Stegostoma tigrinum: one gene and its partners. The protein of the gene in region 3 purifies or fractionates together with the protein of the main gene of each other region. This does not show direct contact. Links are inferred from orthologs where the notes say so. Each region holds a gene or a part of one and is shown on either strand. Other genes may lie near its edges. The genes, in order: elongation factor 2, vars1, elongation factor 1-alpha 1 and eef1g.

Region 1 (7,367 bases), on a different chromosome or scaffold from region 3:
CAATTCAGAGACAGCAGGACTGCAGACGCTGGAGAAACTGAGATAACAAGGTGCAGAGCTGAATGAACAGAGCTGGCCAAGCAGCAGGGGAGCAGGAAGGCTGATGTTTCGGGCCTAGACCCTTCTTCAGAAATGCTTCTTCCTTCTCCAGAATTTCTGAAGGAGGGCTTAGGCCCAAAATGTCAGCCTTCCTGCTGCTCTGATGCTGCACCTTAGTATAGTGCACAGCTCAGTTTCAAAACAGGAGTCAGAATGTCATATCACAAGTGTAGCCAAAAAAACCCACTTAACCTAAATCCTTGACCAAGTACAGCACATCATTCGGCCCATCAAGTTAACATCAAACCTCAAGTGCATCCCAGTCAGACCCACCTACCTACCTTATCTATGTAACCCTGCATTTCCCATGGCTAATTCTGTAGGGGCCTGTAGTCATGACTAAGTGGCTACGGCAGTGGGTTCAAAATCCATTGGGTCTCCCTGCACAGGTTCAAACCCTGCTGGCTACATTTAGAAGCAGCATGGTGGCTCAGTGGTTAACACCGCTGCCTCATGGCACCAGGAACCCAGGTTCAATGCCACACTCAGGTGACTTTGGACTGTGGGAGGAAACCCATACAAAGTGGATTGGCCATGCTAAATTGCCCACAGCATTCAGGGATGTGCAGATTAGGTGGGTTAGAGAGTTATGGGTCTCGGCAGGATGCTCGGAGGGCCATTGTGGACTTGTTTCCACACTGTCGGGATTTTATGAATAATCCACCTAGCCTGCACACGATCGACAATTTAGTTTGGCTACTCCACCTAACCTACACATCTTTGTACTGTGGGAGGAAACAGAAGCACCTGGAAAAAAATCCATGCAGACACGGTGAAAACGTCTGCATGGAGTTTGCACAGTCGCACAGAAGTAGAATCGAACCCAACTCCCTAGTGCTGCGAGACAGCTATGCTAACTACCATGCTGCTCAATATGCCTCAATAGTGTGACTTCATAGCCAAGCCATTCTGCAAAATGCTGGCCACTGGCATGATTATATCACTTACCAGAAACACAGTCTACCACAACTAGAGCACCATCAGTTACACGCAGAGCAGCTGTTACTTCTGAGGAAAAGTCAACATGCCCAGGTGAGTCAATCAGGTTGATGAGGAAGCCACTGCCATCCTTGCTCTGCTTGATGAAAGCTAAATCTTCTTCCTTGAGTTCGTAAAACAGGGAGATGGCACTGCACAAAGATACAAATTGCTAGTTATTCCTTGAAGCAAAAGGAGCCAGCACCAAGTTTTATAACGAGAGCAGCAGTTACATAACACTATGCGGGTTTATTAGAATTGGTATTCCAGTATAGCAAGATACACATGAAAGGAGATCATGATGAAGTTAACAGCTATGCTCAATTGCCAGACTTTGGCACATAGTTGTAGAATCTCCTTGCAGCATTACACCAAATTTTCCCCACTGACTTGGACACAAAGCCTACAAATGCAAAGTGCAGCTTGTTAACTAAAACTAAAAGTGTAGTCACTCACGTTGACTTAATGGTGATGCATCTTTCTTGTTCATCCTTGCGAGTGTCAGTGAACCTAGTTTCACCAGCACGGGAAGAGGCAATGATTCCAGCTTTTGACACCAGAGAGTCAGTAAGGGTGGATTTGCCATGGTCAACATGTGCAATCACAGACATGTTACGTATGTTGGACTTTTTGTCCATGATGGCACGGATCTGGTCTACTGTGAAGTTCACCTGGAAATTGATATTACAATACCATGACTACAAAGTAAACTGGGGATATCAGTAAAGCAGTGGTAGTAGTCAAATTTGGCTAAATCACTGCACCATACGTGAACCCAAGACAAGCCTCCCATCCCATGAAGGAAAGGAAACAGGACTGGCCCCATGTTATTCCCTTCACCACCAGAAAAATAGGCATCTAAGATCCATCAGAACGCACTAAACCATCTATAACGCGGCATCGATATCAAGTAATGCAAACCGACACCTCACGGCAAAAAAAACACGCAACATACAAAAAACCAACAGATTCAAGCTAAAACATACCATAATTGATCTTTTAAAAAAAAAAGAGGGATTGCGATCAATACCCTGCATTAAAGATCGACCCGAGACGTCACGTGTTAAAACACACAAAAGCCGTTTCTGGAAACCCGATCACGTTAATGCACCGTGTGCCGCAATCAATCCCATTTCTCCAACAGGGCGAGATGAGTCAGGCTGGAGCCGCTGCCAAACGACATGCACAGGAAGGAGCACAGCCAATGCCGGGGGGGGGGGGGGGGGGGGGGGAGAGAAGGAAGCCACGTCCCCGGTGACATTCACCCTGAAGCCGGGACAAGGGCCACCTTCGGTTCCACGTGGCGGTGGGGACTGGGACAGGGCTGAGGATTAAACAGTCGCCGGTTCTTACCGGCCGACCCACCCCTCTCCCCGACCCGCAGATAAACACCCGCCTCCTAGTGACGCACAACAACACCCGGGGGGGGGGGGGGGGCGCGCCGGAAACCCGGTGACAGCTCCGTCCCTGCCTTCTCCCCACCTTGGACCCTCACTGCCAAATAACAACCCGCTCCCCCACCAACACCTTGCCCCATGGCAGAGGCAGTAAAACCCCCACACCCCTCCCCTAATCCGTTCAACTTCAATCTGATTGCGCATCACGGCGGGCGGGCCGCACAAGAACCACCCCCCCCCCCAACTTTGTCGGGCCCACTAACGGGCCCCCTCTTCATCTACGAAAGAGACAATATCATCGTCGGGAGGAAGGCATCCAGTCTCAATACCGCACTGAAAATATCGATGGAAGCGCCCGACACCCATTCCCACTCGATGGAGACGTCGCCGATTTACCATTTTGCCGGATGGGGCTGGATTGCTTCGTTCTCAAGCTCCGGCTTCTGTCCGCCTCACCGAACGGGCGGATAAGAAAAGGACCGGTTCCAGCAACTTCCGGCCTTTTACCAGCCGCAGCTGCGTCACGTGGTCCCGCCGTAGGTACAGTCCTCCCAAACAGGCGCCCCCTTGCGGGTCTGTCTGAAAAGACAAATACAAAGGCGTGCACCCACAACTTTCTGATAGTAACGGACCGATTCTGTCTTCATGCCATGATGCTGGAATCTGAAATAAAATCAGAAAGTTCTGAAGAAACTCAGCAAATTTGGAGAGAGAAATAGAATTAATGTTTAGAATCTAACATGACCTCTTCAGAACTCACATTGGGGTTGAAGTAGGCCAAAGGAAAGTGAGCTTAAATTCATCAGAATTGGAAGCTATTTTAAGGTTTCATAGAATCAAAGTGTGGAAAGAGGCCATTTCATCCCATTGAGCCTGCATGGACTCTGAAGAGCATTGCACACAAACCCAGCCCTCACACCCATCCCAGGAAGCATGGCCCATCCACCTAGTTACCATAACGTTTGTATGTAGGCTTGCAGAAACACACTGCAATGAAGATATAGAAACATATCTGGAGTATGAGGTCCACGTCAGCAAGGTCCGTTGATTTGAGGATAACATCTACTCTGTGTCACTGGTTCTGATATGTGTCTTCACATGGCTGAATAGGTAATATCCCACTCCGCACATTATTTTCATGGGACAAGATGTGCCCAAGGCATTGGGAACTGGAGTGCAGAATTTGTTCTTTTTCCCCTTCTCTGCTGCTGCTCTGCCTCATCATTTAAGTGTGTGATAGAGAGCTGCTGCTTGATGGAGAAGTTGCTTTGCGTCTGGTACAAAGCTGGATGGTGACTTTGGAACCAAGAGACACTATCCCAAAGTAAGGGGCTAGCCATTTAAAGAGTTAGAAGAGGAGAAATTCAGAGGAATTAACCTTCAGAATTTTTTACTCGGAGTCTGTGGAGATTCAATCATTGAACATTTCAAAAGCTTTTGGGATTTTAATGACACAAGGTACAGGAGGAAGTGGGCAGGAAAATAGACTCCGACACAAGGTATAGGAGGAAGAGTGCAGGAAAATAGCATTGTGGTAGGTGATTATCCATGATGTAGTTGAATAACAGGCTAAATAGCTTCCCATTCCAATGTTCTGATGAGTTACAAGCTCCTCCCAGTCATTAATGTCAACATTACTGTACTTCAGGAAGAGCTGCACGGTATTTTAAGTTGTTTTAGAGATAGTAGGAACTGCAGATCCTGGAGAATCTGAGATAACAGCGTGTAGAGCTGGATGAACACAGCAGGCTAATCAGCATCAGAGGAGAGGGAAGGCTGAAATTTCAGGCCTAGACCCTTCTTCAGAAATCTGAAGAAGAGTCTAGGCCCAAAACGTCAGCCTTCTTGCTCCTCTGATGCTGGTTGGCCTGCAGTGTTCATCCAGCTCTACACCTTGTTATCCCAGTATTTGAAGTGTTTTCTTTGTCCTCCGTGTGTGAAAAAAGGATGACAAGGGAGACGCTTTTCAGTCATCGAAACATATGTCCAATCCATTGAAGGTGGTGTTTCAGAGTTCCTTTGCCTGAATACTAGGACAGCTGACTTCAGGATAGACAGATATAGTAAGAACTGTCGATGCTGGAGTCAGAGATAACAGTGTGGAGCTGGAGGAACACAGCAAGTCAGGCAGTATTAGAGGAGCAGGAAAGCTGATGTTTTGGGTTGGGACCCCTCTTCAGAAAATCAAGATGGAAAGTTGTGTTTGTTCAACAATCCTCCCATTGGATGTGGAGAAGGCATTGCTGAAAGAATTTATCTTCATCACAATCCTGCAATTGTTTCATATTGGCTAGAACTGCCTTGAAGACTTAAAAATCAGGAGCTTGATCAAGCAAGACCATGTGATATCTTCCTATAATGCTTACAATATACTCGATAATGGTTGTTCAAAGATCAAATGCCATTTGGTGTCAGGATAAAATGCCACCTGAATGAAAACCTCAGCTATCACTTCTGTGTCATATCTAAACTGACCAGCATGAATGACTGCAGTGTCATACCCCCACTGCACTGCACCGGATTGAAACTCAACTGGACCGCAGTAAATCATTTGTCATATTCTGAAACTTCAAATTTACACCTAAGAAACTTGACATGCATAAATGTCCAAAGAAAACGCATCAGCTCAATCAGCTAAATATTCCACATCCAATACATGTTGGAGGTGAACCTCTGGAATATTGTGAATGTATGGTATACACTGTCCAATTTGGTTTGTTTTCAAACATTTAGTACAATGTTCATTTCATTAAGTTATTTGTTGAAATCAGAGTCCAGGGCTCCAATGACAAAACCTCTGAAATCCTTACCAACTATTAATCACACTCTGATGTCTCCTAATATACTACACTTAATGCTGACCACTTCTAGCTGTGCAATAATTAATTTAGCATTTGCCACCTTTCCCACATAAACAGAACTTATGAATGATGTGCAACAGCAAGACAGATGATGTCACAGGTTGTATATAGAGAAACAAAAAAAAGGAAACTGCAAGGGCAAAGGATAACGTGCCATAGTGATACAGAATTTCTCTGAATGACTTCTTGAACTGTCTGAATAATTTTTATATTAGAACATACAAATATTTAAAATTTGCGAATGACACTATTGCATTCCAAGGAGAACCCGAAGGACAATGTGTTTAACACCAGCAGGAGCTTTATTAGTGAGGTGTTCATTTTAGAGGAAGTTAAGAGTGCTCTTTCCCCACCCAAAATGACAAATGAGATCACCATTATGCCTCATAATCAAATTCTTAAAGTGACAGGCAAGCATTTGTGCATCGATCTACATTCAACTGACGACAGGCTTGACTAAGGTTAATTTTATTGATGATGTGGCGACAATGGCCTTGTGGTATTAATACTAGACTGTTATTCAGTGACTCAGGTTTGAATCCTGCCACAGCAAATGGTGAAATTTGAACTCAATAAATATATAAAATTAAAGAGTCTAAGATGACCATGAATCCATTGTCAATTGTCAGAAAAACCCAACTGGTTGACCAATGCCCTTTAGGGAAGGAAAGTGCTGCCCTTAACTAGTCTGGCGTACATGTGACTCCAGATCCACAGCAATGTTGTTGACTCATAACTGACCCTGGGCAATAGCCAGCAACATCCTAATTCTATGAATGAATTAAGAATTAAAATCAAAAGCTGACTGCAGCTAGTCTAGCAAATAGGTCAACGATTAAAGGCAAAGTACATGTTCAGCATATATTACCTGATTAACAGTGACCTTAAACATCACCATAGATAGTTACTAGTATGATAGGCATAACCCAAACACTCACATTTATGGGTTCAAAGACTTCTGTCTTCATCAGCCTCTCTCATCTGCCTTGACCTTTGGTCTAATTGCATAAGGCACCGATTTAGACTTGGAACATTTTGCTTGACTCTCATCCTTAATTCTCAATTTGACAGATCTATTCCTTGCTTGCCACATCTCCACTGAAAACAATGGCTTATTTATTTAGAATTTGTGATTGATCAGTTTCAGAATATGACGAATGATTTCCTGCGGTCCAGTTGAGTTTCAACCACATTCTTCCCAAGAAAGCTGGAAAATCTCCTTGTGTAAAAGTGTAAGGATATATCTTCGGACTGACTATAACTCAATATTCACATTGACACACCTTAAAGGCACCACCTGAGGGTGTTCTTAATACAATTTTTGAGAGTTACAGTACCATGTGATCCAGCTACTTTGAATGCACACTTTCAGGTATCAATGAAACTGCCACTCCAATCTTAGATAACAAAGTGTGAAGCTGGATGTACACAGCAGGCCAAGCACCATCAGCGTTTCGGGCCTAGACCCTTCATCAGAGAGGGGGATGAGGAGTGGGTTCTGAAATAAATAGGGAGAGAGGGGGAGGCAGACCAAAAATGGAGAGAAAAGAAGATAGATAGAGAGGAGAGTACAGGTGGGGAGGTAGGGAGGGGATAGGTCAGTCCAGGGAGGACAGACAGGTCAAGGAGGCGGGATGAAGTTAGTAGGTAGGAAATGGAGCTACTAACCTCATCCTGCCTCCTTGACCTGTCCATCCTCCCTGGACTGACCTATCCCCTCCCTACCTCCCCACCACCTATCTTCTTTTCTCTCCATCTTTGGTCCTCCTCCCCCTCTCTCCCTATTTATTTCAGAACCCACTCCCCATCCCCCTCTCTGATGAAGAGTCTAGGTCCGAAACGTCAGCTTTTGTGCTCCTGAGATGCTGCTGGGCCTGCTGTGTTCATCCAGCCTCACATTTTATTATCTTGGAATTCTCCAGCATCTGCAGTTCCCATTATCTCTACCACTCCACTCTTACTCATTTATCATTCAGTAAGACAGCAACCCACTATCAGCTCCTCTGTGGACTGAGAGTTTGTGTTTTATCAT
Region 2 (7,015 bases), on a different chromosome or scaffold from region 3:
TCTTTGAAGTTTGCATCACACGCAGACAGAGCGTCTAAGAAGAGGTTTAGCACACTTACCTTCATTGCTCAGAGCTTTGAGATTACAATTGGGGTGTCATGTTAAGATTGTCCTGGATGTTGGTGAGGCCTCTTCTGGAGTACGGTGTCAACTTCTGATCTTTCTGTTATGGGAAGGATGTTATTAAGCTGGGGAGGGCTCAGAAGAGATTTACCAGGAAGTTGCTGGGAATGAAGCGTTTGAATTATAAGTAGAGGCTGGATAATCTGGGACTTTTCTCACTGGGGCGAAGGCGATTGATGGGTGACCTTAAGGAAGTTTTTAAAATAATAAGTAGTGTAGATAAATCAGAATGGTGAGTGTCTTTTCCCTAGGGAGGGGGGATTTCCAGACTAGGGGGTACAGTAGCTCAGTGGTTAGCACTGCAGCCTCACAGCACCAGGGACCCAGGTTTGATCCCACCCTCGGGTGACTGTGCAGAGTTTGCACGTTTTCTCCGTGTTTGCGTGGGTTTCCTTCAAGTGTTCCGGTTTCCTCCCACAGCCCAAAGATGTGCAGGTTAGATGGTTTGGCCATACTGAATTGCCCACACATCTGTAGGTTAGGTGGACTAGCCATGGGCAATGCAGGGCTACAGAGATGGGATGGGGCGTGGGTCTGGGCAGGATGCTTTTCATTTGTGTGGACTCCATGAGCTGAATGGCCTGCTTCCACACAGTAATGGATTCTATAGTGGGTATAATTTTAAGGTGAGAGGAGAAAAATTTTAAAAAGACACGAGGGGACTTTTTTTTTGCCCAGCGAGTGCTTCGTGTGTGGAATAATTTTCCAGGGGAAATAGTGGATGTGTGTATAGTTGCAACATTTAAGAGACATTTGGATAAGTACATGAATAGGAAAGGTTTGGAGGGATATGGGCCAGGAGCAGGCAGGTGGGGCTAGTTTAGTTTGGGATTATGATTGGCATGGGCTGGTTGGACCGAAGGGTCTGTTTCCGTGCTGTGTGACTATATATAAGTGTGAGGCTACAGTCATGAAGGTGCATTTATTTAATATGTTAATTTGTAATATGGAAGCATTGATAGTATTGGGGCTGGCCAGGCCTGAAAGCAGCGTAAAACGGCTGGGAAGATTTTTAGCTGAAGCAGTAGTTTGTTTAGTTTGACATTTAAACTTCAACTATGAGCTGTGGTAATCGCAGTGTCTGGCGCTGGAATACATCCAAGGTACAAGATTAATGCAGTCCACAACAGGGCCGTGCACTCAAAACAGAAAGGGTGGTGTTGAGTAGCTGCTGCCTCTGTTTGTACAGAAATAGATGGATAAGGAACGTCTTTGAGGATGCTGATTGAAAATCCTATACTACGTTTGTTCAAAGTCTGGGATTCAGCCCAGGGTAGGAAGGAAGGGCACAATGCGGAGGTGTTCTGCAAAGCGGTCCCCAAGCCTCCACTTATCCCAGGCCCCAAGATGACTTTCCATATTAAGCAGAGGTTCATCTGCACATCTACCAATGTGGTATACTGTATCCATTGCACCCAGTGTGGCTTCCTCTACATTGGGGAAACCAAGCGGAGGCTTGGGGACCGCTTTGCAGAACACCTCCGCTCGGTTCGCAACAAACAACTGCACCTCACAGTCCTAAACCATTTCAACTCCCCTTCCCATTCTTTAGATGACACGTCCATCATGGGCCTCCTGCAGTGCCACAATGATGCCACCCGAAGGTTGCAGGAACAGCAACTCATATTCCGCTTGGGAACCCTGCAGCCCAATGGTATCAATGTGGACTTCACAAGCTTCAAAATCTCCCCTTCCCCCACCGCATCCCAAAACCAGCCCAGTTCGTTCCCCCCGACACTGCACCACACAACCAGCCCAGCTCTTCCCCTCGACCCAGTGCATCCCAAAACCAGCCCAGCCTGTCTCTGCCTCCCTAACCTGTTCTTCCTCTCACCCATCCCTTCCTCCCAACCCAAGCCGCACCTTCATTTCCTACCTACTAACCTCATTCCACCTCCTTGACATGTCCGTCCTCCCTGGACTGCCCTATCCCCTCCCTACCTCCCCACCTATACTCTCCCCTCCACCTATCTTCTTTTCTCTCCATCTTCGGTCCACCTCCCCCTCTCTCCCTATTTATTCCAGAACCCTCTCCCCATCCCCCTCTCTGATGAAGGGTCTAGGCCCGAAACGTCAGCTTTTGTGCTTGAGATGCTGCTGGGCCTGCTGTGTTCATCCAGCTTCACACTTTACTATCGGGAATGATGGCTGGATATGAGGGGAAATGTGAATAATGTAGAGATGATAGAATTTGTGGTTAGCACTGCTGCCTCACAGCATCGGGGACTTAAATTTGATCCCACCCTCGGACAACTGTCTGTGCAAAGTTTGTACGTACTCCCCATGTCTGCATGGGTTTCCTCTCACACTGCAAAGGTGTGCAGGTGAGGGTGGGATTGGCCATGCTAAATTGTCCCATAGTGCCCAGGGATGTGCGGGTTAGGGTGGGATTGGCCGTGCTAAATTGTCCCATGGTGCCCAGGGATGTGCAGGTTAGGGTGGGATTGGCCGTGCTAAATTGTCCCGTAGTGCCCAGGGATGTGCAGGTTAGGGTGGATTGGCCGTGCTAAATTGCCCCATAGTGCCCAGGGATGTGCAGGTTAGGGTGGGATTGGCTGTGCTAAATTGTCCCATAGTGCCCAGGGATGTGCAGGTTAGGGTGGATTGGCCGTGCTAAATTGTCCCATAGTGCCCAGGGATGTGCAGGTTAGGGTGGATTGGCCGTGCTAAATTGTCCCATAGTGCCCAGGGATGTGCAGGTTAGGGTGGGTTGGCCGTGCTAAATTGTCCCATAGTGCCCAGGGATGTGCAGGCTAAGGTGGACTGGCCGTGCTAAATTGTCCCATAGTGCCCAGGGATGTGCGGGTTAGGGTGGGTTGGCCGTGCTAAATTGTCCCATAGTGCCCAGGGATGTGCGGGTTAGGGTGGATTGGCCGTGCTAAATTGTCCCATAGTGCCCAGGGATGTGCAGGTTAGGGTGGATTGGCAAACTAAATGCCCCGTGATGTCCAGGATGTGCATACCATTTGGATTAGCTGTGTGAAATAGAGGGTCACACGGATAGGGCAGGGTGTTTACATCTGGGTGGGATGTTCTTCGGAAGACGGGTTTGTACTCTGGGCTGAATGACCTGCTTCCACACTGCAGGGATTCTATGAATCCAAATGTTAAGAATATCGACGTATCACTCCTGGGTTGTCTGGGAATTATTTGGTGCATACAGGAAATGACTTTCCAATAAAAGAGGGAATAAACAGCTGCCACCATAAACTAATGTTAGATGACCTCCAGGTCTCCTCCCTGCCTGAATTACAGGTACCGCAACAGGAGAAGATTTGAGGATGAAGAATCTGCCGGGACTGTGGAGTCTTGCATTAATATCCGGAAGCATGGGACCAATATTGGAAAGAGCAAATGAGGAAGTACAACCGATGGATCGAAGGGAGACTTTAAGGACTATGGGCTTTATTTGCTCTGTCAGATGGGACATGTTACACCGGGGGGAATAGACGATGATAATGCATAGCTTGTGGTCGATTTCGGTAAGGGACATTAAGTGTGTGCGGTGTTCTACAGGCAGCCTGTTGAATGTGTGTCAGAAAAGGTGTTAAAATGACAGTTTTATGCACTTTTGGAGTCTTTTGTTCCCCTCCCCATGTTCAGTGGACTACAGAGAAGGGGGTGGGAAATAGTGTGTAGATATTATGAATATGTAGGGGTGCCAGTAATATCATTACATGTCTGTTTTCACCGCACTCCTACCACCCCCACCTCCGAGAAGCGGGAGGGAGGATGGGAGGGGGGACAGAGAGGAGGGGGAGAGAGGGAGAGTTGGGAGTCGGGAAAGGGGGTTGCGGTGTGTCAGTGAGCTGCTCCTTGTGCAGTTTGTATTGGATTGTTCCGCAGTTACCAGCAGAGGGACTCCTCAATGCGGATATTACAGAGCAGGAAGCTCCCTCCCACCACCCCCTGTCTCTCTCTCTCTGTCCTCACGCCGGCCTGGGCCGAGGGAGTCTATTCTACCCGGGGAGCTGCGGCCAGGACAAGAAGGTTCGTAACCTCGCCCTGGCTGGGGGCTGGGGGCTGGGGGCTGGGGACAGAGACAGAGACAGAGCCAGAGCTGCATTTAGCGGCAGCAGAGGGAGCAAGAAAGAGCCATGTGTCATTTTATAAAAGTGATACTGGTGAGGGATTGGGGGGAGTCTCAGAGTGGGGCAGGGACAGAGGGAGGGGAGTAGGGGATGGCAGGGACAGAGGGAGGGGAGTAGGGGGTGGCAGGGACAGAGGAAGGGAGGAATGAGAGGATGGGCAGGGGAGAGGGAAGAGAGAGAGATGGTGGGGGTTGTCGGGGAGAGAGTGATCCAGGCGCTCCCGTGCTGGGAGGGCCTGCCTCCCCCACCCCGAGCCTCGGGTTAATCCACCGCCGCTCTTGTACCACCCAGTCCCGGGCTCTGAGCTGACCCTCTCCCGCTCAGTACCAGCACCGCTGGCTGGGGCTTTAGCTTTCATTTACCTTATTGCACCCTTTTTTTTGCTGCTTTGATTTTGCTTATTGCGCCTTGCTGGCCCTGGGAGGTGAGTGTATCTCTACCTCTTAATTCCCTGCCTGTCTGTGCCCTGAGAGCTGATGCAACCGGCTGTAACTTTGCAGCACATGCTAAAATACTTTATCAAGCTGTGGGTCTGCTTCTTTCACATCTGTCTGCAGAACACCACCCGCTCCCTCCCCCTCCTTCTTTATTTTCTTCCCAGCCCCTGATTGCCCCTCGGGCTGAATGCCTTGTTGGGAGAGTCAGTCCCATTTGCTGGTCACAGATTTCCTCACCTAAATACCATCCATGTTGTATACTGTTTTTGTTGTTTGCAGTACAGATGCTCATCTGCAGTCATTTGCTCCTCTTTAAACAGCTGCATGGATGGTGGAACCTGGAACCCCCAGACTTTCTAGGCTCAAACTGCCAACAGGTCCCCCACCCCCATCATCCCCACTTTGTACTTTTATAAATATTTCTATCATTTTACTTAAATTAAGGAGGGATTTGAACCCTAGTCGCTAGTGCATTTGGATTTTCAATCCAGTGAAATTACCACCAAGCCACCATCTCTATCTCTCTCTCTCTCTCTCTATCCTCCTTCCCCCCCACCCGCCCCAAAACATGCGTATTAAACACAGCAGGCCGGGCAGTATCAGAGGAGCAGGAAAGCTGACGTTTCAGGTTTACACCCTTCATCTGATGCTGCCTGGCCTGCTGTGTGTTCCTCCAGCTCCACGCTCTGTTATCCCATTTTGAAATGCTGTTGGCGGTGGAGCAGTATTTATTTTCTAATGAACCTGCTCAAGGATGTTGACTTAGACATGCATTGCCAGGCTCAAGAGCAGCTTCTTCCCCACTGTCAGTCTGAACAAACTCCTCAAATTGCAAATTTAATGTTGACTCCACCCTTTGTGCACCTTCTTAACTTTGCATTCCTTGCTCTGGATGTGAGTTTGCTCGCTGAGCTGGAAGGTTAGTTTTCAGACATTTTGTCACTTTTTTTTAATTTGAAAAAATATACTTTATTCATAGAATGTACAAAAAATAAAACATTTATACACCTACTCAGTCATGCAAGGCACTCCGGGTTACCCAGGGGGTACGTACACCAACTAAAGGCAAAAACAAAACAGAGAAAAAAAAAACAAATCAAAGAAAATACCGCGGCAGTCGTCACCCCGCACAGTCCCCGTTGGCCCTCTGACCAGTTGGGGAAGGCGCCAGCTGGGCCCAGTTACCAGATAGGGTTCTTTTCCCTTTTCTGGATGAGGGGGCTCATACGGTGGTCTTTCCCCACCGCGCCCTGGCGGCGGCTGCCCCAAACTTTAGTGCGTCCCTCAGCACGTAGCCCTGGACCTTGGAGTGCGCCAGTCTGCACCACTCGGTCGGGGTCAGTTCTTTCAGCTGGCAGACCAGCAAGTTGCGGGCAGACCAAAGAGCGTCTTTCACCGCATTGATGGTCCTCCAGGCGCAGTTGACATTGGTCTCGGTGTGCGTCCCCGGAAACAGCCCGTAGAGCACGGAGTCCCGGGTCACGGAGCTGCTCGGGACGAACCTCGACAAATACCACTGCATCCCCCTCCAGACCTCTTGCGCGTAGGCACACTCCAGAAGGAGGTGATCAACAGTCTCGTCCCCTCCGCAGCCACCTCGAGGGCAGCGTGCGGTGGCGCAGAGATTCCGGGCATGCCTAAAGGATCTCACTGGCAGAGCCCCTCTCACCGCCAGCCAAGCAATGTCCTTGTGCTTGTTTGAAAGTTCTGGCGATGAGGCATTCTGCCAAACGACTTTGGCAGTCTGCATGGGGAACCACACGACGGGATCCACCCTCTCCTTTTCCCGAAGGGCCCTAAGGATACTACGTGCTGACCACTGCCTGACGGCCTTGTGGTCAAAGGTGTTTCCTTTCAAAAATTTCTCCACGAAGGACAGGTGGTACGGGACGGTCCAACTACTCGGAGCGTTCCACGGCAACGAGGCCAGGCCCATCCTTCGCAACACCGGGGACAGGTGGAACCTCAGTAAGTAGTGACACTTGGTGTTTGCGTACTGAGGATCTACGCACAGCTTGATGCAGCCGCACACAAAGGTAGCCGTCAGGGCAAGGGTGGCGTTCGGTACGCCCTTTCCCCCATTTTCCAGGTCTTTGTACATGGTGTCCCTGCGGACCCGGTCCATCCTCGACCCCCAAATGAAGTGGAAGATGGCCCGGGTGACCGCAGCGGCGCAGGTCCAGGGAATAGGCCAGGCCTGCGCCACATACAACAGTACCGAAAGCCCCTCGCACCTGACAACCAGGTTCTTACGCGCGATGGAGGGGGACCGGAGCGTCCACCTGCCCAGCTTCTGCTTCAATTTGGTGATATGCTCCTCCCAAGTCTTAGTGCACGCCCCAGCTCCACCAAACCAAACACCCG
Region 3 (7,546 bases):
AACACCGAAGGATGTGGGGTAATTACTTGTGCATGTGACACAGAAAGCTAGCAGATAGATAATCGGGAAGGCTCATGGAATGTTGTCTTTTTATTTCAAGGGATTGCAGTAGAAGAGTAGAGTTATAGAGTCACATAAGTCTTGCTGCAACAGTACAAGATGCTGATGATACCACATCTGGAGTGTTGTGAACAGGTCTTGTTTCCTTTTTTAAGCAAAGACATCATTTCATTGGAGGCATTTCAGAGAAGGTTCACTTGGATTAGCTCCAATATGGAGGGATTGTCTTCTGAGCAAAGGCTAAACAGGTGGGGACTCTATTCACTGAATTTTAGAAGAATGAGGGATTGTCTCATTGAAACATGAAGGATTCCGTAAAGGTTTAACTGGGTAAGAATTGAGAGGATGTTTCCCTTCATGGGAGGGTTTAGGACCAAAGGGCATAGTCTTGGAATAAAGGGTTATCAATTTACGACCGAGGATGAAGAGGAAGTTCTTTTCTCAGCTTGTGATTCTCTGGAATTCTTTACCAAAGTTCTGTTTTCATGCCATCATGATTGCCTTTATTTCAGTTTAAAATACCGGACTTGAAGTTATACTTTATCTTCTCAAGCTGAAAGCAAAATTCAATCGTACAATGGTTGTTGCTCACTAAGGATGCCATCATTAATAGGTCATTCATTTATCCTATCTCATTGTACAATACCAGATCTAGAATAGCCTGACATCTGGTTGGCTCCTCAGTGTACTATCTTCAGAAATTAGCTGAGAAAAAGTCCATAAACTTCTCATCTAAATTGCTTTTGCCTATCCAATATTTCCAGTCCATTTGCAGATTAAAATACCTGACATTATTGCTGTACTTTTACATTCTCATTATTTCTCCTGTACATACTTCATCCTGTTTTGTGGTTACTATTAGGGGACCTGTACGTCATTCCCATCATCTTATCCATGCCGATCAAGTTTCCCAAACTAAACTAGTCCCACTTGCCTGCATTCGGTCCATATCCCTCTAAACCTTTCCTATTCACGTGCCTGTCCAACTACTTCTTAAATATTGTAACTGTACCTGCATTCACCACTTCCTCTGGTAATTTGTTCCACATAAAAACCATCCTCTGTGAAAAAGTTGCCCCTCTGGTCCCTTTTAAGTCTTTGTCCTCTCACCTTAAAAATATGCCCACTAGTTTTGAACTCCCTCACAGTCAGAAGGGTCTGTTTCCATGTTGTATGTTCTCGATGACTTGACTTCATCATTTAACATTTCCTACTTCTACAATTACTTCTCCATGTGCTATTCTAAAAACTCAGGACATGCCTCTTTGTTGTGCTAATACCATCATCAATTAACACAGCTACACCTCCCCCTTTTCCTTGCTTTCTATCCTTAAATGTCTTGTGATCTTCAATATTCAGGTCCTAACCTACCTCAGTCCACAGTCATCTCTCTCTGTAATGGCTATTGTATTTCACTTACTTAATTATACTTGTGCTCGGTTTTCTTTTGCTATGTGCATTCAGATACTGAGCCTTTAGTTATTATTTTTCTAATCTTTCGAACAAACAGTGGATTTACTCATGGATTAGTATTCTCTGTTCCTTTCCATCATGGTCTGTTTATCATTTTCCATATTAACACCATTGTGTCTTCCTTCCCATGCTTTTTGGGAAGATGCAGTAAATCAAATTTGATCCTTTGTCCTCATCATTTAATTTAAAACCCTGTTCCTGGTTATTTGGCTTAACACAGAACTGGACCTTGTTGAATGCTTTATGAAAATCCAAATACACCACATCTACTAGTTCCCCTTTGTCTATTCTGCTAGTTCCATTCACATTGACAAACATAACTTTCCTTATATAAATCCCTTTTGCCATTGCCTAAACTTACCATTATTTTCAAATATGCAGTTAGCACATCCTTTATAATTCATGATTGTATTTCCTGATGACAGATATCAGAATAACAAAGCTACAGTTCCCTGTTATCTTCGTTCTTAAATAGTGGAGGTATATTTCCTACTTTCTAATCTGTACAGATTGTTTCACAGTCTTAAAAAACTTGAGATACGGTCATTTAAGGGTCATTACTTTTATAACACTCTTTTCAACATTGAGATGTAGATCATCAGGTTCAGATGCTACATTTTTAGTAATGCTAATTTATTTTGGTTTCCCATTTTCACTAATTCAGGTTCTGTCATTTCCAGGTGACTGTTTATATTTTCCTCCGTGAATACAAGATACAAACTATTTGTAAATTTTCTGTCATTTCCTTATTCTTTATTATAAACTGTACTGACTCTGCCCTGTAATGGGCCCACATTTGTCTTTATTAGTCTTTTCCTCTTTGGATACATGTACAGAAGGTTTTATGATTTTTTTTTTTGCTCTTTTACCTTTGTATTGTATTTTCCCTTCATCAGTTTCTTGGCCTTGCTTTGCTGAGTTCTAAGATATTCCCAATCCTTACGCTTTCTATTTTTTTGGCAACTTTATAAGTCTCTCTTTGAGATCTCCTAGAACTTTTTCGCGTTAGCCATGGTTGAATCATTTTTGTGGTTAGGTTTTTATGCCTCAAAGGAACGTATATTTGCTGTAAATAATTTATTAATTCTTTAAAGGCTAGCCAGTCCTTGTCTTTGGTTATAACCTTGACTGTCTGTCTTTAATTTGTCTGTCATTGCTAGAGGGATGGAGTTTAAAAACAGGGAGGCTATGCTGCAGCTGTATAGGGTCCTGGTGAGGCCACACCTGGAGTACTGTGCAGTTTTGGTCTCCTTACTTGAGAAGAGATATACTAGCACTGGAGGGGGTGCAGAGGAGATTCACTTGGTTGATTCCAGAGTTGAGAGGGTTGGATTATGAGGAGAGACTGAGTAGGCTGGGAATATATGCATTGGACTTCAGAAGAACGAGGGGAGATCTTATAGAAACATACAAGACTGTGAAGGGAATAGATAAGTAGAGGCAGGGAGATTGTTTCCACTAGCAGGTAAAACTAGGACTAAGGATCATTGCCTCAAAATGAAGGGAAGCAGACGTATGACTGAGGTTAGGAGGCACTTCTTCACCCAAAGGCTTGTGGATTTGTGGAATCCCCTGCCCAGTGAAGTGGTTCAAGCTACCTCACTGAATGTTTTTAAGGCAAGGCTAAATAAATTTTTGAACAGTAAAGGAATTGAGGGTTATGGTAAGCGGGCGGGTAATTGGAGCTGAGTTTTGAAAAGATCAGCCATGATCTTATTGAATGGCGGGGCAGGCTCAAGGGACCAGATGGCATAGTCCTGCTCCTAGTTCTTATGTAATGTACTTTCTCAGTTTACCATAGCTAACTTGTCCCTCATTCAGAAATGCACGTTGATTCGGTCACCAGTAGAGTACAATGACCTATATAGTTCTATCATAACCAGTCTGTTCTTATGGTTGAACCTCAAACTTGCCAAAAGTTCTGGTAATTCATCCCTGAATGCTCCTTTACAAGATTATTAATCAGTCTTTTCTCATTGCACAAAAATGGATCTAAAGTAATCTAATCTTTACTTGGTTCCTTGAGAAGACTATTTTCAGGAATTCCTTCTCATAGCAATGGTGCCAATCAGTTTTCTCAAGTCTATATGTAGACTGAAGTTCTCTGTGATTACGCTATCATTGTTACATGCATCTCCAGTTTTATTAGCACTACTGTTTGGTGGCCTCTAAACAACTTGCACCAGGTTTCGCTGCCCGTCCCTGTTTCTTAGCTCCATCTGAACGGATTCTAGATATTGATCTTCCAATCTAAGATCTTCTCTCACCAATATCTCCTGAACAGATGAAAGGGATTGAGCTGGCACTATGGGCTATTTGGTGAAGATGTGGGGGAGTAGCACAGTTGGTGTTTGGTTGCTGGTGTTTCAAAACGGTTACTGTCACCCACAAACACGTGTGGTTCACTTTTAAACTTGGTGTATAAGTTAACTCTTGAAATATCCCTTCAAAATTTGGAGCGGGGGGGTGTACATATGCACTAATACACATGGCACTTCACCCCTTTACCCCCCACCTCAACCTGCCACACTGCTCTCAGTTGATGCAAATTTGGTACATTTGTTAGTGTGGCAAAGCTCACAGTGAGAGGCCAATGGCGACAAACTCTCACATCTCATCAAACAGAACAGGTTATGTTTTACGTGAGATAACATAAGATGCCAGCAGACTGGGGGAAACAACCCTTTTAAGCGATTGGCAAAAGGTGAGTTTTTCTTTGGGGCTGCGGTGGAGGATTACCTGAGGGAAAAGTTTTCAGAGCCGCTGGAAGGTTAGCGGGGGGCGTCGGGTCATTGGGTGGGACAGGGAGGGTGGCTCCCCGTTGAGGCAGCACAGACACATCGGGCTGAATGGCCTCCTGCGCTGTGTGGGGGCGATGATGTTCTCTCGGTCTGACCCAAACCCCGCCGTCGAATCGTTCAGGCAGCGGGCGAGCTCGAGCTCCAGTCACGAGGGGGCGGAGTCGGCGCACGAGGGATGGGCACGGATTGTGTGTGTTGACCGCGGGGGGTCGCAATTGAAGTCAATCGGCGGACCCCCTTCTTCCCAACGCCCACCCGCTGGCGCCTATTAATAGCCGTGACGCAGCCGCTTTCCGCCTGTTTGCCGAGCGTGTGTGGAGCCGGTAGGGTGTAGGGTGGCCTTTTGGCTCGACGCATTGACCTATTGCGGGCGGGCGGTAACCACCTCCACTCCTCCATCGAGAAGGTGAAGCGGTGAAAGAAACGGGATGGGTGGTGGGTGGGAGTGCTGCTGTTGGAGGAGATGGTGTGACCGGGTTGGAGGGATTCGAAGCTGTGGGCCAGCTTCGTTAGCCGCGTCCCCTTTAGAAGGCGGCGGCGGCTACTAAACGGGTTTCGGTTCGAATTGGCTAATTTCGGGGTGAATCGAGAGACAGAGAGAGAGAGGGAGGGAGAGGGGGGGACCCCTAACGACCCCAAATATTCTAATCTTCTATTACCGGAGCAGTCTTTTCTCATCCCCCCCCCCCACCTGGCGTTCGCTTTTCTGTGGCATCGTTAGTATAAAATTGGAGGGGGGGGGGGTGCAGCCGACAAGTGGGCGGCGGCGGGGCTTTTTATTTTTTTTGAAGGTTTTTTTTCTTATACCGTTTTACCGCAAACGTTGGTGATCGTTCGGCGAAGGTTACGGGTGGAGCTTGTCCCTGACCCTGTCCGGAGGAACCGTGTGTTGGGGGTGGGGGCGGTTCGGTGCCCGTTGGTGAGAAAATGGCCGGTGTGTCCGTGCGGTTATTGTCAGTCAAAATGGAGGAGAGCAACATCAACTGGAATGGGGGCGTTGGAGAGGGAAAGGCAGCAGGTATCTTTATCACTGTAACAATTCGGAGAAATGACGGAGATGCGCTTAAAAAAAAGGAGGGAAAGCGGCTGAAGATCGAGAGAGGCGCTCTTTCTCCCCCTCCCCCCCCTTACAGGAGGAGATGGCCACTGTCTTTAGAGTAAATCCACCGACTCCTGTAATTTGGAGATTTGGTATGGGGAGAAGGCGTCAGTATTGCGTTTTTTTTTTGGCTTCCTAACTTTTTTCTCCCAATTTAACTCCCATCCCTAGTTCCTTAAGGCTGAGGCAACAACCCACTGGCAAAAGCAATGGGTAAGGAAAAGATCCACATCAACATTGTTGTCATTGGCCATGTGGATTCTGGCAAGTCCACCACCACTGGCCATTTGATCTACAAATGTGGTGGCATTGACAAGAGAACCATTGAGAAGTTTGAGAAGGAAGCTGCTGAGGTGAGAAAGCAAGAGGGTCAACTTTATAATGAAATGAGAGGCTGGATGAACACAGCAGGCCCAGCAGCATCTCAGGAGCACAAAAGCTGACGTTTCGGGCCTAGACCCTTCTTCAGAGAGGGGGATGGGGTGAGGGTTCTGGAATAAATAGGGAGAGAGGGGGAGGTGGACTGAAGATGGAGAGAAAATAAGATAGGTAGGGAGGGGATAGGTCAGTCCAGGGAAGACGGACAGGTCAAGGAGGTGGGATGAGGTTGGTAGGTAGGAGATGGAGGTGCGGCTTGGGGTGGGAGGAAGTGATGGGTGAGAGGAAGAACAGGTTAGGGAGGCAGATACAGGTTGGACTGGTTTTGGGATGCAATGGGTGGAGGGGAAGAGCTGGGCTGGTTGTGTAGTGCAGTGGGGGGAGGGGACGAACGGCTGGTTTTGGGATGCGGTGGGGGAAGGGGAGATTTTGAAGCTGATGAAGTCCACATTGATACCATTGGGCTGCAGGGTTCCCAAGAGGAATATGATTTGCTGTTCCTGCAACCTTTGGGTGGCATCATTGTGGCACTGCAGGAGGCCCGTGATGGACATGTCATCTAAAGAATGGGAGGGGGAGTGGAAATGGTTTGCGACTGGGAGGTGCAGTTGTTTATTGCAAACCGAGCAGAGGTGTTCTGCAAAGTGGTCCCCAAGCCTCCGCTTGGTTTCCCCAATGTAGAGGAAGCCACACCGGGTACAGTGGATGCAGTATACCACATTGGCAGATGTGCAGGTGAACCTCTGCCTAGAATACACCTCCTCCCACCCACCCTCCTGCAAAAATTCCATCCCCTATTCCCAATTCCTCCGCCGCATCTGCTCCCACGATGAGGCATTCCACTCCCGCACATCCCAGATGTCCAAGTTCTTCAAGGACTGCAACTTCCCCCCCACAGTGGTCGAGAACGCCCTTGACCGCATTTCCTGCAACACATGCCTCACACCCCGCCCCCGCCACAACCGCCCAAAGAGGATCTCCCTCGTTCTCACACACCACCCCACCAACCTCCGGATACAATGCATCATCCTCCGACACTTCCGCCATCTACAATCCGACCCCACCACCCAAGACATTTTTCCATCCCCACCCCTGTCTGCTTTCCGGAGAGACCACTCTCTCCGTGACTCCCTTGTTCGCTCCACGCTGCCCTCCAACCCCACCACACGCGGCACCTTCCCCTGCAACCGCAGGAAATGCAACACTTGCCCCCACACCACCTCTCTCACCCCTATCCCAGGCCCCAAGATGACTTTCCACATTAAGCAGAGGTTCACCTGCACATCTGCCAATGTGGTATACTGCATCCACTGTACCCGGTGTGGCATCCTCTACATTGGGGAAACCAAGTGGAGGTTTGGGGACCACTTTGCTGAACACCTGAATCATATTCCTCTTGGGAACCCTGCAGCCCAATGGTATCAATGTGGACTTCATCAGCTTCAAAATCTCCCCTTCCCTCACCGCATCCCAAAACCAGCCCAGTTCGTCCCTTCCCCCCACTGCACCACACAACCAGCCCAGCTCTTCCCCTCCACCCACTGCATCCCAAAACCAGTCCAACCTGTCTTTGCCTCCCTAACCTGTTCTTCCTCTCACCCATCTCTTCCTCCCACCCCAAGCCGCACCTCCATCTCCTACCTACCAACCTCATCCCACCTCCTTGACCTGTCCGTCTTCCCTGGACTGACCTATCCCCTCCCTACTATCTTCTTTTCTCTCCATCTTCGGTCCA
Region 4 (7,558 bases), on a different chromosome or scaffold from region 3:
CTCATCGCGGTTACAGAAGGAGCTACACATCTGAAAATCTTCCAAGTGGCGTCAACGACCCTCCTAGAACCATTTGTACACTCTGTCCCAAACTTTATAGTTATACTACTGGGCAAGGGCTCACGTTATCTAGCAAAGTCCAGGTTAATATTTAAGTCAGAAAAACAATTTTTGAGGGCTCGTGTCACTGTGTAGTTCTGTACGTACGTACGTACGTACGCACGCACCCACCCTCCCCTCCCCCCTCCCCTCCCCTCCCCTCCCCTCTCCTCTCTTCTCTCTCTCTCTCTCTCTCCCCCCTCCCAGCTGAGTCCCTACCTGGGTAACTGTGACTAGAGCAGCGCTGACAATACCACAAATAAACGCCGCTGCGTAAACCGAGAACTCCAGGCACAGAAGGAGAGAAAACGCCATGTTCCTAACACAGATCACAGAAACACGGAACTGCAAGAAGTTTTAGTTTTCAGAGGGGAGGGGATCTGTGTTCGTGGTACAGCCCCTTCCCTCACCTGACATTCATTTGCTGAATGACACAGCCAGTCCAACCCCCAGACTCTCCAATTTGCCAATTGCAAAGCTCACTTTGCATTTTGCATTCCCAGGGGTTCACGCACGAAATGGCACAAAAGTTGTTGATTTTATTTCCTGCACAGTGTCACCGCTGGGTAGGGTACTTGCGTGCCCGGGGAGTGGGGCTCACCTCTCTGTGTTGGGGGGTCTGGGAACCACAGGCTAGCCTTAAGGCTGAAACGCACTGCCAGTGCTGAGGGAATGGGCACTGTCAGAGGGCCAGTGCCGAGGGAGCGGGCGCTGGCGGAGGGTCAGTGCCGAGGGAGCGGGCACTGTCGGAGGGTCAGTGCTGAGGCAGTGCTGCACTGTCGGAGGGTCAGTGCCGAGGGAGTGGGCACTGTCGGAGGGTCAGTGCTGAGGAAGCGGACACTGTTGGAGCGTCAGTGCTGAGGGAGCGGGCACTGTCAGAGGGTCAGTGCTGAGGGAGTGGGCACTGTCAGAGGGTCAGTGCTGAGGGAGCGGTCACTGTCAGTGGGTCAGTGCTGAGGGAGCGGGCACTGTCGGAGGGTCAGTGCTGAGGCAGTGCCGCACTGTCGGAGGGTCATTGCTGAGGGAGTGGGCACTGTTAGAGGGTCAGTGCTGAGGGAGCGGGCACTGTCGGAGGGTCAGTGCTGAGGAAGCGGACACTGTTGGAGCGTCAGTGCTGAGGGAGCGGGCACTGTCAGAGGGTCAGTGCTGAGGGAGCGGTCACTGTCAGTGGGTCAGTGCTGAGGTAGCGGGCACTGTCAGTGGGTCAGTGCTGAGGGAGCGGGCACTGTCGGAGGGTCAGTGCTGAGGCAGTGCCGCACTGTCGGAGGGTCATTGCTGAGGGAGTGGGCACTGTTAGAGGGTCAGTGCTGAGGGAGCGGGCACTGTCGGAGGGTCAGTGCTGAGGGAGCGGACACTTTCGGAGCGTCAGTGCTGAGGGAGCGGGCACTGTCGGAGGGTCAGTGCTGAGAGGGTGCCGCACTGTCAGAGGGTAAGTGCTGAGGGAGCGGGCACTGTCGGAGCGTCAGTGCTGAGGGAGCGGGCACTGTCGGAGCGTCAGTGCTGAGGGAGCGGGCACTGTCGGAGGGTCAGTGCTGAGGGAGCGGGCACTGTCGGAGGGTCAGTGCTGAGGCAGTGCTGCACTGTCGGAGGGTCATTGCTGAGGGAGTGGGCACTGTCGGAGGGTCAGCGCTGAGGGAGCGGACACTGTTGGAGCGTCAGTGCTGAGGGAGCGGGCACTGTCGGAGGGTCAGTGCTGAGAGGGTGCCGCACTGTCAGAGGGTCAGTGCTGAGGGAGCGGTCATTGTCAGAGGGTCAGTGCTGAGGGAGCGGTCACTGTCAGTGGGTCAGTGCTGAGGTAGCGGGCACTGTCAGTGGGTCAGTGCTGAGGGAGCGGGCACTGTCTGTGGGTCAGTGCTGAGGGAGTGGGCACTTCGGTGGGTCAGTGCTGAGGTAGCGGGCACTGTCAGAGGGTCAGTGCTGAGGGAATGGGCACTGTCCATGGGTCAGTGCTGAGGGAGCGGGCACTGTCGGACGGTCAGTGCTGAGGGAGCGGTCACTGTCAGTGGGTCAGTGCTGAGGGACTGGGCTCTGTCAGTGGGTCCGTGCTGAGGGAGCTCTTTACTGTCAGAAATACAGTCTTTCGATTGTCACCATCAGCTCAGGACTATCCTTGCAGACAGCAGTAAAATGATTCAGTCTCCAACAATGTGCCTCTCCGTCAGCATGAACAGATTCAGCAGGAGAGGGCTTTGCCACAGGACAGGACATGTGAACAGGTACAAATGGAAGGTGTTGGAACATGGAAATTCTGGACAATTCAGCTCTCTGATTCCTGAACAGTCAATCAGCAAAGCTGCAACCAGGCGCACAGTTCTAATAAACCCTAAAACGGAGCAGAGATAAGGTCTTCAGTCCCACAAGCCTGTTCCACCATTCCACGAGATCATGGCCAATCTACGTCTGGACCATTTTCCTCATGCTCCCCATATTCCTTGATGTCTTTTACAGCTAGAAACCATGAACACACACAGTGATTGGGCATCCACATTCTTCTCGCTTGGAGGATCGCAAAGAGTGAGCTGTCTTCTGAATCTGGAAGAGGAACTTTCCACTTGAAGAGAACCATCTCCTAGAATCATTGATTCATGGAGTTTTCATGGGTTAGAAAGTGGCCCTTCGACCCGCTGTATCCGTGCTGGCCATCGAACAGCCACCCATTTAATCCCATTTTTTAGCATACAAATAAAACTTCCCGCGGATCCTCACCCTGGCGACTCTTCAGAACATTGCGGTCAGAAGTTCTGAAGAAGGGTCACTAGACCAGATCATTAATGCAGCCTCTCTCTGCACAGATGCTGCCAGACCGGCTCTGTTTCGCCAGCAACTTCTCTTTTTGTTCCAGCATTTGCTCCATAGCCTCATATACCGTGGTATCCTCTACATTGTGGGTGTGTGGGTTCTGGGGTGGCAAGGGGTGGGGTGGGGGACGGTTGTGGGAATGTAGGGCTGGAGGGCTCGTGCTGGGCACAGCTTTTAAAGGGGAGTATTTGGGGGTGGGAGAGGAATGAATGGGCCGAATGGATTGCTTCCTGTTCCAAATGGAATTATGTTGATACCACCTGCCTGGCGTAACCTAACAGCAAAACAACAAAACAGCAGAAGAAAGGAGTGGGGTAGGCCATTCAGCCCTTCAAGCTTGTTCTGCCATTCAATGATATTAGGGCTGATAGGGTCAGAAAGATATACAGCTTAGAATCAGGCCTTTTGGTCCAACATATCAATGCCGACCAGATATCCTAAGTTAATTTAGTCCTATTTACCAGCATTTGGCCCGTATCCCCTACAAACCCTTCCTATTCATGTGCCTATTCCTATTTGTGAAAAAGTTGCCTCTTAGGTCTCTTTTAAATCTTTCCCCTCTCACCTTTAATCTATGTCCTCTAGTTTTGAACTCCCCCACCCTGGCTCTTCACCCTATCCATGCCCCTCATGATTTTATAAACCTCAGCCTCTGATGCTCCAGGGAAAATAGCCCCAGCCTATTGAACCTCTTACTTGTTCGCACAGAGGGTGGTGCATGTATGGAATGAGCTGCCAGAGGAAGTGGTGGAGGCTGGTACAGTTACAACATTTAAAAGGCATCTGGATGGGTATCTAAGTAGGAAGGGTTTAGAGGGATATGGGCCAAATGCTGGCAAACGGGAACTATCTTAATTTAGGATATTTGGTCAACATGGGTGAGTTGTACTGCAGGGTCTGTTTACTATAGGTGTGAGCCGGAAAAGCGCAGCTGGTCAGACAGCATCGGTGGGGCACATAGGTGAACATTTTGGGCCAAAAACCCTTTGCCAGGTTGCTTTTCCAGCCTCACACCTGTAGACTCTGGCTTCCAGCATCTGTGGTCCTTATTGTCCCTGGCTCTGTTTCAGTGTTGTGCCTCTCTGTGACTCTCCCTGCAGCTGAAACCCTCCAGTCCTGTGGCACATGGCCTATTTCCCAAATGCCTGCCTTTTGACCCATTGCCCAGAGGAAGGAGACGCACAGCTGGAAGCAGGCAGAGGTAGTCAGGGAGAAGGTTTTGAAATAGCGGGAACTGCAGATGCTGGGGAATCTGAGATGACAAGGCGTAGAGCTGGACGAGCACTGCAGGCCAAGCAGCATCACAGGAGCAGGAAGGCTGGCGTTTCGGACTTGGACCCTTTCTGAAGAGGGTCTAGGCCCAAGACATCAGCTTTCCTGCTCCTCTGATGCTGCTTGGCCTGCTGTGTTCGTCCAGCTCTACACCTTGTTGTCTAGGGAGAAGTTTTTGGAGCTTTTGACATGGTCCTGATGATCCTGTCTCTCCAGCTCTGATGAAGGGTCTAGGCCCGAAACATCAGCTTTTGTGCTCCTGAGATGCTGCTGGGCCTGCTGTGTTCATCCAGCCTCACATTTTATTATCTTGGATTCTCCAGCATCTGCAGTTCCCATTATCTCTCCAGCTTTTAGCTCTGGTTCAGTCTAGGGGTGGTGGTCGGCTACTGTCAATCATCACAAAGGCCACGCCCCCTGGGTTTACGACAGTGCCGTCAGTCAGGCGGCTCTCTCTCTCTTCGGCGCCCCGGCGACATGGCGGACGGGGTAAGTGCTGGCTCCCGGTTACAATCCGCGGTGTATCGGCGCCATCCCGGCTCCGCGAACCCGGCTGGCGGTCCCGAAAGCTCGGCGGGCCTTTCTCACTGAGCCGTGTGCCTTCATTTCCCGCAGATCCTGTACTCGTACCCGGAGAACTGGCGGGCCTACAAGGCGCTGATCGCCGCCCAGTACAGCGGCTCCAAGCTGCGGCTGCAGAGCGGGCCGCCGCATTTCACCTTCGGACAGACCAACAGGAGCGCCGCCTTCCTGCACAAGTTCCCCCTCGGCAAGGTCAGTCTGTCGGGGCGGGACAGGGGATCCGGAGCAAGCCCCGGGCTGAGGGGAGATCGCAACCCACCCCCCACCCCCTCCATCCCCGTAACACCTCGCCTCCCCACCTCCAAATCACCCCCTGCCTCCCCACCCCGATACCCCTCTCCACACACCCCCCCTCACTGCCCCCCTCGTCCCTGTCCCCCCCCCCATTCGTCCCTGTCCCCCCCCCATTCGTCCCTGTCCCCCCCCCCATTCGTCCCTGTCCCCCCCCCATTCGTCCCTGTCCCCCCCCCCATTCGTCCCTGTCCCCCCCCCCAATCTCGTCCCTGTCCCCCCCCCCAATTCGTCCTGTCCCCCCCCCAATTCGTCCCTGTCCCCCCCCCCCATTCGTCCCTGTCCCCCCCCCCCATTCGTCCCTGTCTCCCCCCCCCCATTCGTCCCTGTCCCCCCCCCCCATTCGTCCCTGTCCCCCCCATTCGTCCCTGTCCCCCCCCATTCGTCCCTGTCCCCCCCCATTCGTCCCTGCCCCCCCCCCCATTCGTCCCTGCCCCCCCCCATTCGTCCCTGCCCCCCCCCATTCGTCCCTGCCCCCCCCCATTCGTCCCTGCCCCCCCCCCATTCGTCCCTGCCCCCCCCATTCGTCCCTGCCCCCCCATTCCGTCCCTGCCACTCGCCCCTATGTCTCCATCCTCACCCGCCCCCAACTCCCCCCTTGTCCCCAGCACCGATACCCTCCTATCGCCCACATCCTCACACTTAATCCCCCCCCCATCAGCCCACCCTTAATTTGCTCCCCCATCCTGCTGCGCTCCCCCCCCACCTGCCATCACGCCAATAGTAAATCACTTTTCATTCACTTACAAAACAATACCGTCACTGTAGAGTCATGGAGGTTTTCAGCATGGAAACAGGCCCTTTGGTCCTCCTTCACCATTCCACCCAGTTTTTGCAATTAATCTAGTTAAGTTGCCTGCATTTGGTCCATATCCCTCCCCATACATTTCTTCGATGTCAAAATTGTACTCACGTCCACTCCTACCTCTGGCAGCCCATTCTAGACACTGACCACTGTGTTGAAAAAATTGCCTCTCTGGACCCTTTTGTGTATCTTTCCTCTCACCTTAAACCTGTGCCCTGTAGTTTTAGACTCCCCATGGGGAGAAGCTGTTGGCTACCTTCTGTATCAATGCCTCAAGGATTTTATAGACCTCCATAAAGTCATCCCTCAGTCTCCTACCCCAGGGAAAACAGCCCCAGCTTGTCCAGCCTCTCCTTATAACTCAAACCTTCAGCCTAGGCAGCATCCTAGTAAATATTTCCTGCTCTCTTTCTGGTTTAATAATATCCTTTCTATAGTAGGGCAGCTAGAACTGCACATGGTACTCCAAGTGTGTCCCTACTAAAGTTTTGTACAGATCCAACAAGATTGTCTTGAATATTCAGCCCTGCTGTGAAGGGATTATTGGGGGAAGGGGGACTGTCCACTTCTCTGTTGTATGGTATTATATTCCATCACCATGTCTTTTTTTTGGCCTAAATGCCTTTTGGAGGAGGCGATGGCAAGCTCTCATGACCCTCTGCTGTCTGTGGAGTGTAGGGACATACGCGGTTTTGTTAGGAAAAGAGTTCTAGGATTTTGATCCAGCAACAATGTAGGATCAACGGATATATTTCTGAATTATTGTGATGTGTCTTGGAGGGTACTCCCATTTATCTGCTCCCCTTGCCCTTCTCAGTGGTGGGGGGCCGTGTCACAGATTTTAAATATGTGTGGAGTTTGCTACTGTTCACTCCTTGCCCCCATTTTTCAGTGATTTTTAATGTATATCCCTGCCAGCACACCAATCCCGAATTATTGGAGTCTCACATTTTGGCTGTTTGGATGTGGAGCAGGATTGTCTGACGTCGAGTGGACCTGCCTGTCTCAAATCCTGGCAGGCTCAGGAGCAGGGATAGTGCTTGATGCTGCCATGACCTCACTGGATCAGGGCAATCTGTTGGTGTCAGCAACATGTCAGCGAGAGTGTGAATTGAACCTAGTTGTTAGTGACGGATGAATGACTGTGCTATGTGCAGCCTGCTGTCGGCGTGGCTCAAGTAACAACACTCTCTCCCTGCAGTCAGAACCGTCTCAGTTGTAGACTGGGGGCCATTTGGTGCTTTGAGTCTATTCCATTGTTATTCAGTGGGTGATTTGCACTTCATCCCCCAATAATGGGCACCTGGGGGTTAGAGGCATGGGTGGAATATAAGTGCGGAAGTGTCACCACACCTGTACGAGGTAATGGTGAGCTTGAACCTGGAGTCTCGTGTACAGTTTTGGTCTCCTTACTTAAAGAGGAATGTAATTGCATTGGATGCAGTTCAAAGAAGGTTCACTTGGCTCATTCCTGAGATGAAGGAAAGGTTCAGTAGGTTGGCCCTTTACTCAAGAGTTTGAAAGAATGAGAGGTGATCTTGTTGGAACACTCAAGATTGTGAGAGGGGTTTGATGGGGCGGATTCTGAGAAAATTCTGGGAAGGGGAATGAAGAAGGCGCAGCTCCACAATATGGGGGTCTTCTGTTTACGATGGAGTTGAGGGCATTTCCTCCAAGGGTTGGGGTCTGGCTCTGGCTGCTAATCTCAGC

The links.
Region 1: the proteins of elongation factor 1-alpha 1 (region 3) and elongation factor 2 fractionate together in Homo sapiens (co-fractionation; 3 studies listed by BioGRID). This does not show direct contact. The link is inferred for Stegostoma tigrinum from reciprocal best matches to the Homo sapiens genes EEF1A1 and EEF2.
Region 2: the proteins of elongation factor 1-alpha 1 (region 3) and vars1 purify together in Homo sapiens (affinity purification with mass spectrometry; 3 studies listed by BioGRID and IntAct, counting the BioPlex papers as one, with this or other methods). This does not show direct contact. The link is inferred for Stegostoma tigrinum from reciprocal best matches to the Homo sapiens genes EEF1A1 and VARS1.
Region 4: the proteins of elongation factor 1-alpha 1 (region 3) and eef1g purify together in Homo sapiens (affinity purification with mass spectrometry; 5 studies listed by BioGRID and IntAct, counting the BioPlex papers as one, with this or other methods). This does not show direct contact. The link is inferred for Stegostoma tigrinum from reciprocal best matches to the Homo sapiens genes EEF1A1 and EEF1G.

Annotation. Positions count from the first base shown.
Region 1 is NC_081383.1:37,094,828-37,102,194, forward strand, and holds the start of elongation factor 2, read right to left. Parts: upstream 3,005-7,367; 5' UTR 2,874-3,004; coding exon 2,871-2,873; intron 1,749-2,870; coding exon 1,534-1,748; intron 1,230-1,533; coding exon 1,048-1,229; intron 1-1,047. UniProt on the Homo sapiens protein: Catalyzes the GTP-dependent ribosomal translocation step during translation elongation.
Region 2 is NC_081387.1:26,737,982-26,744,996, forward strand, and holds the start of vars1 (valine--tRNA ligase), read left to right. Parts: upstream 1-4,003; 5' UTR 4,004-4,113; intron 4,114-7,015. UniProt on the Homo sapiens protein: Catalyzes the attachment of valine to tRNA(Val).
Region 3 is NC_081357.1:98,948,856-98,956,401, forward strand, and holds the start of elongation factor 1-alpha 1, read left to right. Parts: upstream 1-4,535; 5' UTR 4,536-4,740; intron 4,741-5,604; 5' UTR 5,605-5,642; coding exon 5,643-5,786; intron 5,787-7,546. UniProt on the Homo sapiens protein: Translation elongation factor that catalyzes the GTP-dependent binding of aminoacyl-tRNA (aa-tRNA) to the A-site of ribosomes during the elongation phase of protein synthesis.
Region 4 is NC_081395.1:5,754,899-5,762,456, forward strand, and holds the start of eef1g (elongation factor 1-gamma), read left to right. Parts: upstream 1-4,558; 5' UTR 4,559-4,647; coding exon 4,648-4,659; intron 4,660-4,785; coding exon 4,786-4,944; intron 4,945-7,558. Other genes in the region: transmembrane protein 179B-like, read right to left, coding at 319-414. UniProt on the Homo sapiens protein: Probably plays a role in anchoring the complex to other cellular components.